Linked DNA regions of Macaca fascicularis. The protein of the gene in region 1 purifies or fractionates together with the protein of each later gene. This does not show direct contact. Links are inferred from orthologs where the notes say so. Each region holds a gene or a part of one and is shown on either strand. Other genes may lie near its edges.

The links. The genes of interacting proteins can lie anywhere in the genome.
Region 2: the proteins of TACC1 (region 1) and FBXW11 purify together in Homo sapiens (affinity purification with mass spectrometry; 3 studies listed by BioGRID and IntAct, counting the BioPlex papers as one, with this or other methods). This does not show direct contact. The link is inferred for Macaca fascicularis from reciprocal best matches to the Homo sapiens genes TACC1 and FBXW11.

The regions. Positions count from the first base shown.
Region 1 is NC_088382.1:42,127,102-42,133,993, reverse strand, and holds the start of TACC1 (transforming acidic coiled-coil-containing protein 1), read right to left. Parts: upstream 4,056-6,892; 5' UTR 3,979-4,055; intron 1,728-3,978; 5' UTR 1,604-1,727; intron 1-1,603. UniProt on the Homo sapiens protein: Involved in transcription regulation induced by nuclear receptors, including in T3 thyroid hormone and all-trans retinoic acid pathways. Might promote the nuclear localization of the receptors.
Region 2 is NC_088380.1:178,666,501-178,672,613, reverse strand, and holds part of FBXW11 (F-box/WD repeat-containing protein 11), read left to right. Parts: intron 1-3,701; coding exon 3,702-3,820; intron 3,821-5,377; coding exon 5,378-5,627; intron 5,628-6,113.

The DNA of each region.
Region 1 (6,892 bases):
CAAACCGGGGATAATAATAGTATTCACCTGACAGGCGGCCATGAGGCTTAAACAAATGAGGTGATGCACGGGAAGCACTTAGCACAATGCCTGGGTCGTAGTAAGTGCTCAGTCAATGTCAGCCATTGATTTATTTCTCATCTACTTCTACTTCAAGTAAAAATTGGCAAACTAGTTTCAAGATCATTATACATGTAATCCAGACTCAGGCCGAGCTCACAAATTTGTTCTTCGAAAAAACCACAGAATTCTTTTGTAAGTCATGATCTACTTTTGTTGTTATTGTTGTTGTAAATAAGCTACATTTAGCTCTTAAATTTCATATCTCAGTTGGAAATCCTAAAGTCATCCTTCCAAAAATACAAGTGGTTCAGCCAATGACATTGATTAAAAAAAAAAGAGAGAGAGAGAAGAAAAAACCATATTTTTGCTTTATATAACATTAGGTCAGAGGTGGGACTCATTTCCACAACTACAAAGCTAAATAAATTACACTTATACCATTTTCCTTTCCTTTCCTTTCCCTTTCTTTCCTTTCCTTTCTTTTCTTTTCTTTTCTTTTCTTTTCTTGTTATTTTGAGACAGAGTCTCACTTTGTCACCCAGGCTGGATTGCAGTGGTACAATCTTGGCTCACTGCAACCTCCACCTCCTGGGCTTAAGCAATTCTCTTGCCTCAGCCTCTGGAGTAGCTGAGATTACAGGCACCTGGCACCACACCCAGGTAATTTTTGTATTTTTAGTAGAGATGGGGTTTCACCATGTTGGCCAGGCTGGTCTCAAACTCCTGGCCTCAAGTGATCTGCCTGCCTTGGCCTCCCAAAGTGCTGGGATTATAGGCATGAGCCACCACGCCCAGCCTACATTTACTTCATTTAATGCAAGGATGTGATTTGGCAATGCCAACCCTAAAGACTAGTTTTTGTTGTTGTTGTTGTTTTCAGTTTTATCTCTGGAAGAACAGATAAGCTTTTCCCCGAAGGTCCTAGGCTGTCTCCCAGGGTCCTTCCTAGCTGCGGTCCAAGCACAATCCTCTCCCCAGCTCAAACTGAAATTACATTGCATTTGTTGGTGTCCATTTTATAGTTTCAAATACCAGTTACTTCTTATTTCCAGACTGCCCCCAAGCTACTTTTCCTTGGGTTAACACAACAACCTCTTTTACACATAACATATTTATTGAATGTTTACCATATGCCAGATGCAATTCTAAATGCTTCATGTGGATTAACTAATTTTATCTTTGTGATATCTTGGTGAAATAGGTACTGTTGTTATCATCTTTCTCCAGAGGATATTATTTTTGAAGAAACTGAGGCACACAGGTTTGTATAATTTGCCCAAGATGACCAAGCTAAAATGTGGCAGAGCTGAGATGTGAACCCAGGCAGTCAGGCTACAGAGCCTGGCACTTTCCCATTGAACCTTACCACCTCAGTAGGGCACAGTGGCTCACGCCTGTAATCCTGAAACTTTGGGCAGCTGAGGCAGGAGGATCGCTTGAGACCAGGAGTTCAAGACCAGCCTGGGCATCATAGGGAGATCCCCATCTCTACGCAAAAAATAAAAAATTTTAAAAAATTGCCAGGCATGGTGGTGCATACCTGTAGTTTCAGCTCCTGGGGAGGCTCAGGTGGGAGAATCACTTGCGCCCAGGAGATTGAGGCTGCAGTGAGCTAGGATTATGCCACTGTACTCCAGCCTGGATGACACAGCAAGACCCTGTATCTAAAAAATAAAACAAACAAAAACTATACCAACTCTCAGAGAAAAAAGTGATGTTTATCAGGGATGCAGTTTGGACAAGAATCCTAACTCCACTTATTCTTAGGAGCACTTTTCCTTCCCACAGAACATTCCGTCCTGGCCCTGTGACCCTGCTCCTCCTAGCCTATTCTCAGGGGCATTCTTGAATAAAATACAAAAAAGCCACACTCACAACAATGTCCTTCTTACTTCTGTCAAACAGGGCTGCAAAAATATTCAAGGCAGTGTGGCTCAGACTCAGGGGGAGGGGCCCCAGCCCCACCTTCACCATTAAGTGGCCGGGTGCCCTCAAGCCAGTCACTCAGTGGCTCTTCCTTTCCACTCCACACAGCAGAGTGGGGGTCAGGCCAAAAGCTACCTTACAGGGCTTTGTGAGGATTCCATGAGCTCATCTGTGTAATGTGCTCAGCCCCATGCCTGGCTCAGTAAGTAATCTGATATCGTAAAGGGAGATCAATAATTAGCTGTTACAATTATTGATCACATAGTTCATAACCGTGAGCACACTTAGAAGGACAAATTCAGAAAAGACTTGGAGAGAGAGGCCGAGTTGTATTATCAGTTCTCTGGGGCTCTGCCCCTTGTCTGTCCCTGCACAGGAGGTCAGGTGCCTGAGACGGAACAGCTCACTCGCTGAGCCTGGTTGGCACTCCCACCTCCAGCAGGTTCCCCAGGGCAGAAGGCGATCATTAAAGGAGGCGGATGGGAGGATGGAGTAAGAGCCTAGACAGGGGCAAGCTAAAAATCCCTCCGTCAATCACCTTTGTTCCATAAGCAGTCATTTTCAGTCTAGGCAAAGCACTGCTTATTGCAGGTCAGCAGTTCTGCAAATTGTTTTAAAAGCATGCTTTTAACTGGGAACCTCGACATAAAAGTCAGGTAAGGATGGAGCTGCTTTGTTGGAAGTGGGAAGAGGAGGTGCCCCCAGGCTCCACGGTGAACGCCACAAAGGCGACCTGCATCCCTTCCCAGGAGCGAGGATGTCCTTAGATCACAAGATGTTTTCTTTTCTTTTTCTTTCTTTTTCTTTTTTTTTTGACACAGTCTTGCTCGGTTGCCCAGACTGAAGCGCAGTGGTGTGATCTCAGCTCACTGTAACCTCCACCTCCCGGGTTTAGGTAATTCTCCTGCCTCAGCCTCCTGAGTAGCTGGGATTACAGGTGCCTGCCACCATGCCCAGCTAATTTTTATATTTATAGTAGAGATGGGGTTCCACCATATTGGCCAGGCTAGTCTCAAACTCCTGATCTCAAGTGATCTGCCCACCTCAGCCTCCCAAAGTTCTGGGATTACAGGTGTGAGACACTGTGCCCAGCCACACAAGATTTTTTTAAGTTCAAAAGCCATTTTCTAAGAGAAACAAATGTATATAATAAATGTGAACCCAGCTGAGTAGTCCTTATGCAGAAGCCATGCTGAGTTCTCTGAGCAGGTCCAATGTCAGCACGTGTATTGCCAAGGCTGGCCTTCCAGAGACCGACTGCCGGGAGCCCGGGCCTCACGAAGGCAAGGGCTACACGCAGGTTACTGGGTAGACCAGTTAGCTTTGCCCCAGACAGAAACATTTTAGACAGCACCTGGGTTCTGTCCATAAACGCAGGGCACTGATGCTTAAGGGCCCTGACCAGGGTCTGTGCCACATCCCTGCACCCAGAGAAACAACTCAAGGTAGTTGTCTCCAAGGCAATGGGTGGAAGGAAAGGAGGGAGAGAGCATCTGGGCCAGAAGAACACATGGCCCAGGTCCCGGGAAACAGCCGCGCCCAGCTCACCGTGGTGAGAATGCTTTTCCCAGCCCTGTCCCCTTCTCACTTCTCCCCGAATCTATTCCCAGATGAAGGTATTTATGACTGCTCCTGGGCATTTCAGGGGCGGAAAGAAAAAAGAAAAGAGAAGAGAGAAGCAAAGGGAAAAGAAAAGAAAAGAGAAAAATCAGGGATTCACAATATTTACTTCCTAGAATTCTGCCTTTCAGTACCTCCCACACGAAACAAAATATGTGGTTCCAGAGACCCAAGGATTAAAGTTCAACTTGGAAAGAGAGAGGGAAAAGGAATGCCTGAACTTATTCCAGATTCGTGGCCAGTCCACCCACCACCCAGTGCATACCCAAGCGAGGGAAACACCTCAGCCCCGGGCTTAAAGGACGAGCACCTCGTTTTGCTCAATAAGTGTGAAGTGGCCTCAGGAACGTGCAGTCCCCAGTTTCCTACCTCTTCGGCGGGGGTCCCCAGGGTCGCTCCCCTCTCCCTTCTGCGCCACCTGCTACCGCTGATTTGGCATCTCTCCTGGGGAAGCCGCGGGGCGATCAGGGAGGAGTTCCGAGGAAGGAAGGGGAGGGCATGGTCTCCCAACCAAGCACTTGGTTCCAGGGAAAAGGATGTTTTGTAACTTTCAGCTTGAATTTCCAGAGGCAGAACAGGAAATGTCCATGGGGCTGGAGCTCAAGTGCGAAGTCAGCCGGGGCTCCGGCTCCTTTCCGAGGGGCGCTTCCTACGTGCTCCCGACGCTGGCCCTGTCTGGAATTTAAAGCTACGTCTGAATTCTGGTGCCTTTTCCCCTCTTACTCCTTCCTCTAGCACTTCTTCTTCTTCTTCTTTTTTTTTTTTTTTTTCTTAATGGAACGTCAGCTTCGTTCCTGACATGCTGGAAAAAGTTTCTTTTGCTTCAACTTGGCTCAGAAACATCCTCTCCTTGTGAGAGGATTTCTCCTATTACAAAGTTCAGTTTAAAAAAAGAGAGTTGTTTTGCCAACTTTTGTACTGAGAACATTTTTGACGGATTTTTCCCCCCGATCGCTTGGATTCCAAGAAACATACACACCCACATCCCTCTGTTTTTTGTTTTTTTCTCCTTCTAACTGAAAAATAGTAATAACAGCTGGTTGGACTGGGCACAGTGGTTTGCGCCCATAATCCCCGCCCTTTGGAAGGCTGAGGCAGGAAAATTGCTTGAGCTCAGGAGGTTGAGACCAGCTTGGGCAACATAGTGAAACCCTGTCTCTACATAACATTTAAAAATTAGCCTGGCACAGTAGCTTGTGTCTGTAGTCCCAACTACTTGAGCCCAGGAGTTGGAGGCTGCAGTGAGCTATGATTGAGCCACGGCAATCCAGCCTGGGCAACAGAGTGATATCCTGTCTCTAATGATAATAATAGTAATAATAACAATAGCTGGTCAAATATTGCAGTGCTGGTGGGGTGCTGTGGCTCATGCCTGTAATCCCCCAGCACTTTGGGAGGCCAAGGTGGGCAGATCACCTGAGGTCAGAAATTCAAAACCAGTCTGGCCAACATGGGAAACCCCGTCTCCACTAAAAATACAAAAATTAGCCAGGTGTGGTTGTGGGCATCTGTAATCCCAGCTACTTGGGAGGCTGAGGCACAAGAATCTCTTGAACCATAGAGGTGGAGGTTGCAGTGAGCCTAGATCACGCCACTGCACTCCAGCCTGGGTGACGGAGTGAGACTCCGTCTCAAAAAAAAAGAAAAAGAAAAGAAAAAAAGATTGCAATGCCGGTGTTCTTGTTCTTAGACTGTGAGCGGTAGCGTGCTGCCTCACTCAGCCTTGTCTGTGTGATTGTGTTCCCCATAGCACAGTGTGCATCCTGTGTGGTAAAGAGGGGTAACAGGTAATGATGGTCTTCAAGGGTGTCTCTTAGTTCTAGGTCTTTCTATAATGGTCACACAGGAATTGGCTACCTTTTTCAAATGGGGTCCCATTTCAAATTACAAACTCTATCTCCTCTGCTCCCCACCCCTTCTCCCCACCCCAGGGATAAGCCTGGAAGACCCTGGTTGTGATTTGTGGAGGTGATTGGGTGGAAGTAACCAGGCTGAGAGGCTAATCATAAGATTCAGTTGTTGGTAACCGCCCAGGGGGTAGCATGTCTGTGAACTGTCAAATGCCACCACAAATTGGGAACCTTTAGGGTACTTTTGACCCCTGCAACAAAACTCAGTAGTTTTCCTAGTGTTAATTGGGAATTTGTTCACAAGCAGGAAATGAGAATATCTCCTCTGTTCTATGTATTAGAAGCCATGTTGGCCAGGTTGGTTTCGAACTCCTGACCTCAGGTGATCCGCCCACCTTGGCCTCCCAAAGTGCTGGGATTATAGGCATGAGCCACAGCACCTGGCCTGCACTGCAATCTTTTACCAGCTATTGTTATTATTACTATTATTATCATTACTTGCACATTCATAGTGCAAGTAAGATTGTAAGAAAAAATAATTTGTTAGGCCAGGTGCAGTGGTTCATGCCTGTAATCCCAGCACTTTCGGAGGCCAAGGCAGGAGGATCACTTGAGTCCAGGAGTTCAGGACAAGCCTGAGCAACCTAGGGAAGCCCTGTCTCTACAAAAATAAAATAAAATAAATTAGCCAGTGTGGTGGTGCCTGTACCCCCAGCTACCTGGCAGGCTGAGAGGCAGGAGGATCACTTGAGCCTGGGAGATCGAGACTGCAATGAGCTATGATTGTACCATTGCACTCTAGCCTGAGCAGCAGAGCAAGACTCCATCTCAAAAAAAAAAAAAAAAAAAAAAGAAAGAAAAAAAGAAAAGAAATAAAAATTGCCAATTCATCGTGTTAGAAAGTTTCAAATGTTTTAGGAGTATCTTTCATTTACAAAAATTATACTGTATGTATAACAGACTAAGGCTAGCAATTTCTAGATTGTTGAGTTGATGTACTGATTACACATAATTTTTATCTAGTCAGTGAACCAAGACTGACCCTAGGTGATGTTTTTCTGTTCTGGCTTAAGTTTTGTACCTAAACTTGAAAGTAATTGAAATGCATTTATATTCTGAAATTTAGATAGCCTATCATTTCAAACTCAATGTAATGTGGAGATAATCCTAATCAACAAATTTTAACCCAGCATTAAAAATATGTAGTTAGATGTCTATTTTATAGTCTAACATATTTAAACATTATATTAAAATAAACATATGATCTCAAGAACCAGACTCTGAAAAGATGTAGACAGATTGAGTCTGTCTGATATCTAAACAATAGACAAACTAAGTTTTAAAAAGATTAATTATGCCCCCACTTAAGGGCAGAAGTCTAATTCCACAAATTTGAAGAATATGTAGCCTCATGAACATATCTGACCAGAGAT
Region 2 (6,113 bases), on another chromosome or scaffold:
TAATTTATATGAAATGAATTCATTCCCTGAAAGACACAATCTGCCAAAATTGACATAAAAACAAATAGATAATCTGAATAGGCCTTTATCTGTTGAAGAAATTGAGTCGATAATTAATTACTTTCCAAAACAGAAAGCACTAGGCCCAGATGGGTTACTGGTGAATTCTGTCAAACATTTAAGTAAGAAATTACATCAATTCTCTACAATCTTTTCCAGAAGATAGAAGAAGAGAGGATATTTCGTCACTCATTCTATGAGGCCATCCTTACCTTAGTACTAAACTAGATAAAGACATTCTAAGAAAACCACAGGCCAATATCTTCATGTTTAACCTTCAGAACTTAATTAATGTAATCCATCATATCAATAAGCCAAAGAAGAAAATCACGTCAATATATGCAGAAAAGGCGTTTGACAAAATTGAACACTCTTTAGTGATAAAAACCCTTAGTAAACTATGAATAGAGGGGAACTTCCTCAACTTGATAAAGAGTATCTACAAAAAGCCTATAGCTAACATTCATACACAGTGCTGAGAAATATGAAACTTTCCCACTAAGATCAGGAATAAGACAAAGATGTCCCCACTCACCACTACTTTTCAACATTGTATTAGAACTCCTAGATAACACAATAAGTCAAGAGGAAATAAAAGGTATACAAATTGAGAAGGAAGCATTAGAACTGTCTTTGCTTGTAGATGACATGATTGTGGAAAAAAATGAAAGCATCAACAAAAAAAATCTCCTAGAACTAATAAATGATTATAACAGGTTTGCCAGATACAAGATTAATATACGTAAGTCATTTGCTTACCCATATACCAGCAATGAACAAGTGGAATGTGAAATTAAAAACACAGTAACATGGCTGGGCGCAGTAGCTTACGCCTGTAATCCCAGCACTTCAGGGAGGCCGAGGTGGGTGGATCATCTGCGGTCAGGAGTTCGTGACCAGCCTGGCCAACATGGCAAAGCCCCATCTCTTCTAAAAATACAAAAATTAGCCAGGCATGGTGGTGGGCGCCTGTAGTCTTGCTACTCAGGAGGCTGAGGCAGGAGAATCGCTTGAACCTGGGAGGTGGAGGTTTCAGTGAGCCGAGATCGCGCCATTGCACTTCCAGCCTGGGTAACAGAGTGAGACTCCATCTCAAAAAACACAATAACATTTATATTAGCATCCCCCCACCAAAATGGAATACTTAGGTATAAATCTAACAAAATATGTATAAGATCTATGTGAAGAAAACTGTAAGACTGATTAAAGAAATCAAAGAACTAAATAAATGGGGAGAGACATTTCATGCTCATGAGTGGGAAGACTATTGTGAGGATGTCAGTCATTTCTTCCCAAATTGGTCTATAGGTTCAATGCAGTCTCAGTCAAAATCCCAGCAAGTTATTTTGTGGATATCTACCAGCTGACTGTAATGTTTATATGGAGAAGCAAAAACCAGCATGATATTGAAGTAGAATAAAGACAGAGGACTAACACTACCGTACTTCAAGAATTACTGTAAAACTGCAGTAATCACAATAGTGTGGTGCTGGCAACAGAATGGACAACTAGATCCATGGAACAGAATAGAGAGCCCAGAAATATATACCTTCATAAATATAGTCAGCTGATCTTTTGCAAAGGAGCAAAGACAATACAGTGGAGAAAAGATTGTCTCCAACAAATGGGGCAGAAGCAATTAGATACCATATTGCCTCCCTTACCCCTAAACAATCTAAACACAGATCCTATGTACTTCACAAAAATTAACTCAAAATGGATTAAAGACCTAATTGTAAAACACAAAACCATAAAATTCGTAGAGTATAACATAGGAGAAAATCTAGATGATCTTGAGTTTGTTGATGACTTTTTAGATATAATACCAAAGGCATGACCCATGAAATAAAGAATTAATAAGCTGGACTTTGTTAAAATTAAAAATTTCTGTGAGAGACGTTGTCTAGAGAATGAGAAAACAAGCCACAGACTAGAGAAAATATATGCAAAAGACATACAAAGAACTCTTGAATCTCAGCAGTAAGAAAATAAACAATTAGATTAACCTGATTTTTAAAAATAAGACATAGACCTTAACAGACATCTCACCAATATACAGATGGCATATAAGCATGTGAAAAGATGTTCCACATTGTAAGTCATCAGGGAAATGTGAATTATAACAGTGAGACACTACTACACACCTGTTAGCATGGCCAAAATCCAGAACACTGACAACACCCAATGCTGGCAAGAATGTGGAGCAATAGGAACAGGAACTTTCATTCATTGCTGGTGGAAACAGAAAATGGTACAGCCACTTCAGAAGGCAGTTTGGCAGTTCTTACAAAACTAAACATACTTCTACCATATGATCCAGCAGTGTTGCTACTTAGTATTTACACAACTGAGTCAAAAACTTACATCTACACAAAAACCTGCACCCAGATGTTTATGGCAGCTTTACTGATGATTGCCCAGACTTGGAAGCAACCAGGGTGTCCTTCAGTAGGTGAATGGATAAATAAACTGTAGTATATCTAGACAATGGGATAATCTTCAGCACGAAAAAGGAATGTATATCAAGCCATGAAAAGACAGGGAGGAACCTTCAGTATGTATTACTGTGTGAAAGAAGCCAATGTAAAAAGGCTTCATACTGTATGATTCCAACTCTGTGACATTCTGGAAAAGACAAATCTATGGAGGCAGTAAAAGAAGCGAGAAGAGGAACACTCAGAGCATGAAAACAACTGTTGACAACATTTTACCTCCTTTAATCCTTTTTTCCTTTTCTAAAATACAGTCATTGTGTCACTTTATAGATAATTTTTATTCTGATTTTTAAAAAATGCTTAACTTTGTAATAAAGCATGATCTTTTCTCATTAAACACTTTTCATAGTTTACTTTGAGACTTTTATGAAATGATGGACGTTTCATTTTCCACTTTTTATTTTTGTAAATGTAGGGGTATGCATTTGTAAAAGGTCTTAATAATTAAATGTTGTCATGTTGCTTTCCAGAGAGTGAGCCAGTTCTTTTTTTATTAATTAATTTATTTTTACGAGACATAAAAATAAAATGACAAAGCAGGGTTCTGCTTTGTCACCCAGGCCGGCATACAGTGGTATGATCATAGCTCACTGAAGCCTTGCCTTCTGGGCTCAAGCAATTCTGTCACTTCAGCCTCCTGAGTAGCTGGGACTACAGGGACACACACCACCACGCCTGGCTAATTAAAAAAAAAAAAAAACGCACACACACATACACACACACATTTATGGAGATTGACTTGCTATGTTGCCCAGGCTGGTCTTGAACTTCTGGGCTCAAGCGATCCTTCTGTCTCTGCCTCCCAAAATGTTGGGATTATAGGCATGAACCACAACACCCAGCCAGTGAGCGAATTCTTTTCACAGATTTTATTTTTAAAAAGTCCCCTTTATGAGGCTGTTGATAAGTGTAATAAGATCAATAGCTAAGGGTTCAAATTAAGCAAAATAGCACATCTATCCTTGTAGTTAATCACTATTGTCTGTATTCCTACTTGTCATTTCTTACCTGTTTGATATTCAGTGTTTCTTACTTACTATAACCCAAGTGTGTTTTATTTTATAATCAGAACATAAAGTGGGACAGTAACATTCATCAAAATATAGTATAATAAATCATCGTTTGTGGCTAATCTTGTCTCAATAGATTTGGGATAAAACCAGCCTGGAATGTTTGAAAGTGTTAACGGGACACACAGGCTCTGTCCTCTGTCTGCAGTATGATGAGCGTGTCATTGTAACCGGCTCTTCAGATTCTACGGTGAGGTGAGTGATCTGGCTTCATTGGTCTTAACTTGTAAGCCTTCCCTGAGAAAGTCTGAGATTGACATCCTCCTCTGGGAGAGGCATACACACACTTACATTTTTACATGCTGTATTTCAAACTTTTATTGTAGATATGTTTGAGCAAATTAGGCAGGAAAGCTAATTTTTGTTAAGGGTGTTCTATTCCTGTTGCTGTTCATTATAGAGATGACAACATGCTTTCCTGTAAGAGCATATACCAAGTATTAGGCTGGCTTTCTTCTTTTGGGAAACTGGTCCAGAGCAGAGAGGAGACACTCACTTCCAGGAGTCACTCCCGGACTCTTTCACCACCCCTGCCTAAAGCATCACCACCCGTGCCTGAAGCATCACCACCCCTGCCTGAAGCATCACCACCCCTGCCTGAAGCATCACCACCCCTGCCTGAAGCATCACCACCCCTGCTTGAAGCACGCCTGGTATCCTCTCCTGGACTCAGTGCTTCCGTACCACTGCTTCTGCCAGAGATCATGTCTCAGCCTCAGAGGCCTGAGTCTTTTCCCCTCTGCCCTGTGTGAACTTGTCCTCTTAGGAGATGAGGGTTACAGAAAAGCCATGATGTGGAAGTGCTGCCCCCAGATCCCTGGACATACAAAGCAGTTGGGAGACCCTGGCTTTGTCCATAAAGCAGCTGAGTAAAGAAGTGGATGTGGTGATTGATGAGGCATCATGACTTACCCAGTTTGCAGTGGATAAATAATAGACTCAGAGGTCTGCCAGAGGTCAACAAGAACTGTAAGCTTGGAACCATTCTCAGTTCTTCAGCCAACAAAGCTCCTTCTTCCTTTTATCTCAGACTCAATACAAAATCTGCTTTCTTGAGGAATTGTCTTTTGCCATCAGCATGAGCCTGCAGACACCGTCCCTGAATACCTGACTGCTAAATATACCTAAACTCGAGCAGAGCCAGAATTAGCCACCTTTTCTGAAACCATCTCAGCACTTCTCAACAAATAAAGAAATTGCTTTTTAGGGGCACCTTTTAATCATGCCCTTAGGTTCATTAAGAATGGACCCTGTCTTAGTCTATTTGTGTTGCTATAAATGAATACCCGAGGCTGGGTAATTTATAAAAGAAAAGGGGTTTATTTGACTCATGGTTCTGCAGGCTCTGCAAGAAGCATGGTACCAGCATCTGCTTCTGATGAAGGCTTCGAGCTACTTCTCCTCATGGCAGAAGGCAAAGGCGAGCCAGTGTATGCAGATTACATGTGAGAGAGAAGCAAGAGAGAGGGCGGAGCTGCTAGGCTCTTGTCAACAGCCAGTTCTCTCAGAACTAAGAGTGAACTCCCTCCTATGAGAATGGCACCAAGTCATTCGTGAGGGATCCACCGCCATGACCCAGACACCTCCTGTCAGTCCCCACTTCCAACCCTGAGGATCAGTTTCAACATGAGATTTGGTAGAGTCAGACAAACCATATCCAAGCCATTGCAGACCCAGACAGAACTCAGATGCCAGAATCATTTCCTGGCTATCTCCGTAATTAAGCATCATGCTTTTTCTCTTCTCTCCTAGGGTGTGGGATGTGAACACGGGTGAAGTTCTTAACACATTGATCCACCACAATGAGGCCGTACTGCACTTACGCTTCAGCAATGGACTGATGGTGACCTGTTCCAAGGACCGCTCCATTGCTGTGTGGGACATGGCTTCTGCGACCGATATCACTTTACGCCGTGTCCTGGTTGGCCACCGGGCTGCTGTCAATGTAGTAGACTTTGACGACAAGTACATTGTGTCCGCCTCTGGTGACAGGACCATCAAAGTAAGTATGTCTGCAGTCATAACCCAGCCTCCTCCTGTCCCTTTTAGAACAGAGAGAAAGCAGAGGTGGCTTATACCAACCTGGTACCTGGTAAGATCTTTATTCTCCTCTGTGCTTAGTGTAATGTTTTCAAGGTTCATCCATGTGCTTTGTAGCATCTATCAGCTTTGTCCCATTTTTGTTGTTGTTGTTGTTGTCGTTTTAAGTACAGATGGGGTCTTGCTATATTGCCCAGACTAGTCTTGAACTCCTGGGCTCAAGCATTCCTCGGCCTTCCAAAGTGTTGGGATTAGAAGCATGAGCCACCACACCCAGCCAGTACTTTGTTGTTTCCAGTGGCTGAATAACATTTCATTGTTCTTCTGTTTATTAGTTGATAGACATTTTAGTTGTTTCTATTTTTTCGGCTATTACAGATGATGCTGCTATAAATATTAGTGTAGAAGTTTTCATGTTTTTAATTTTCTTAGGATGGTAACCCTCTGT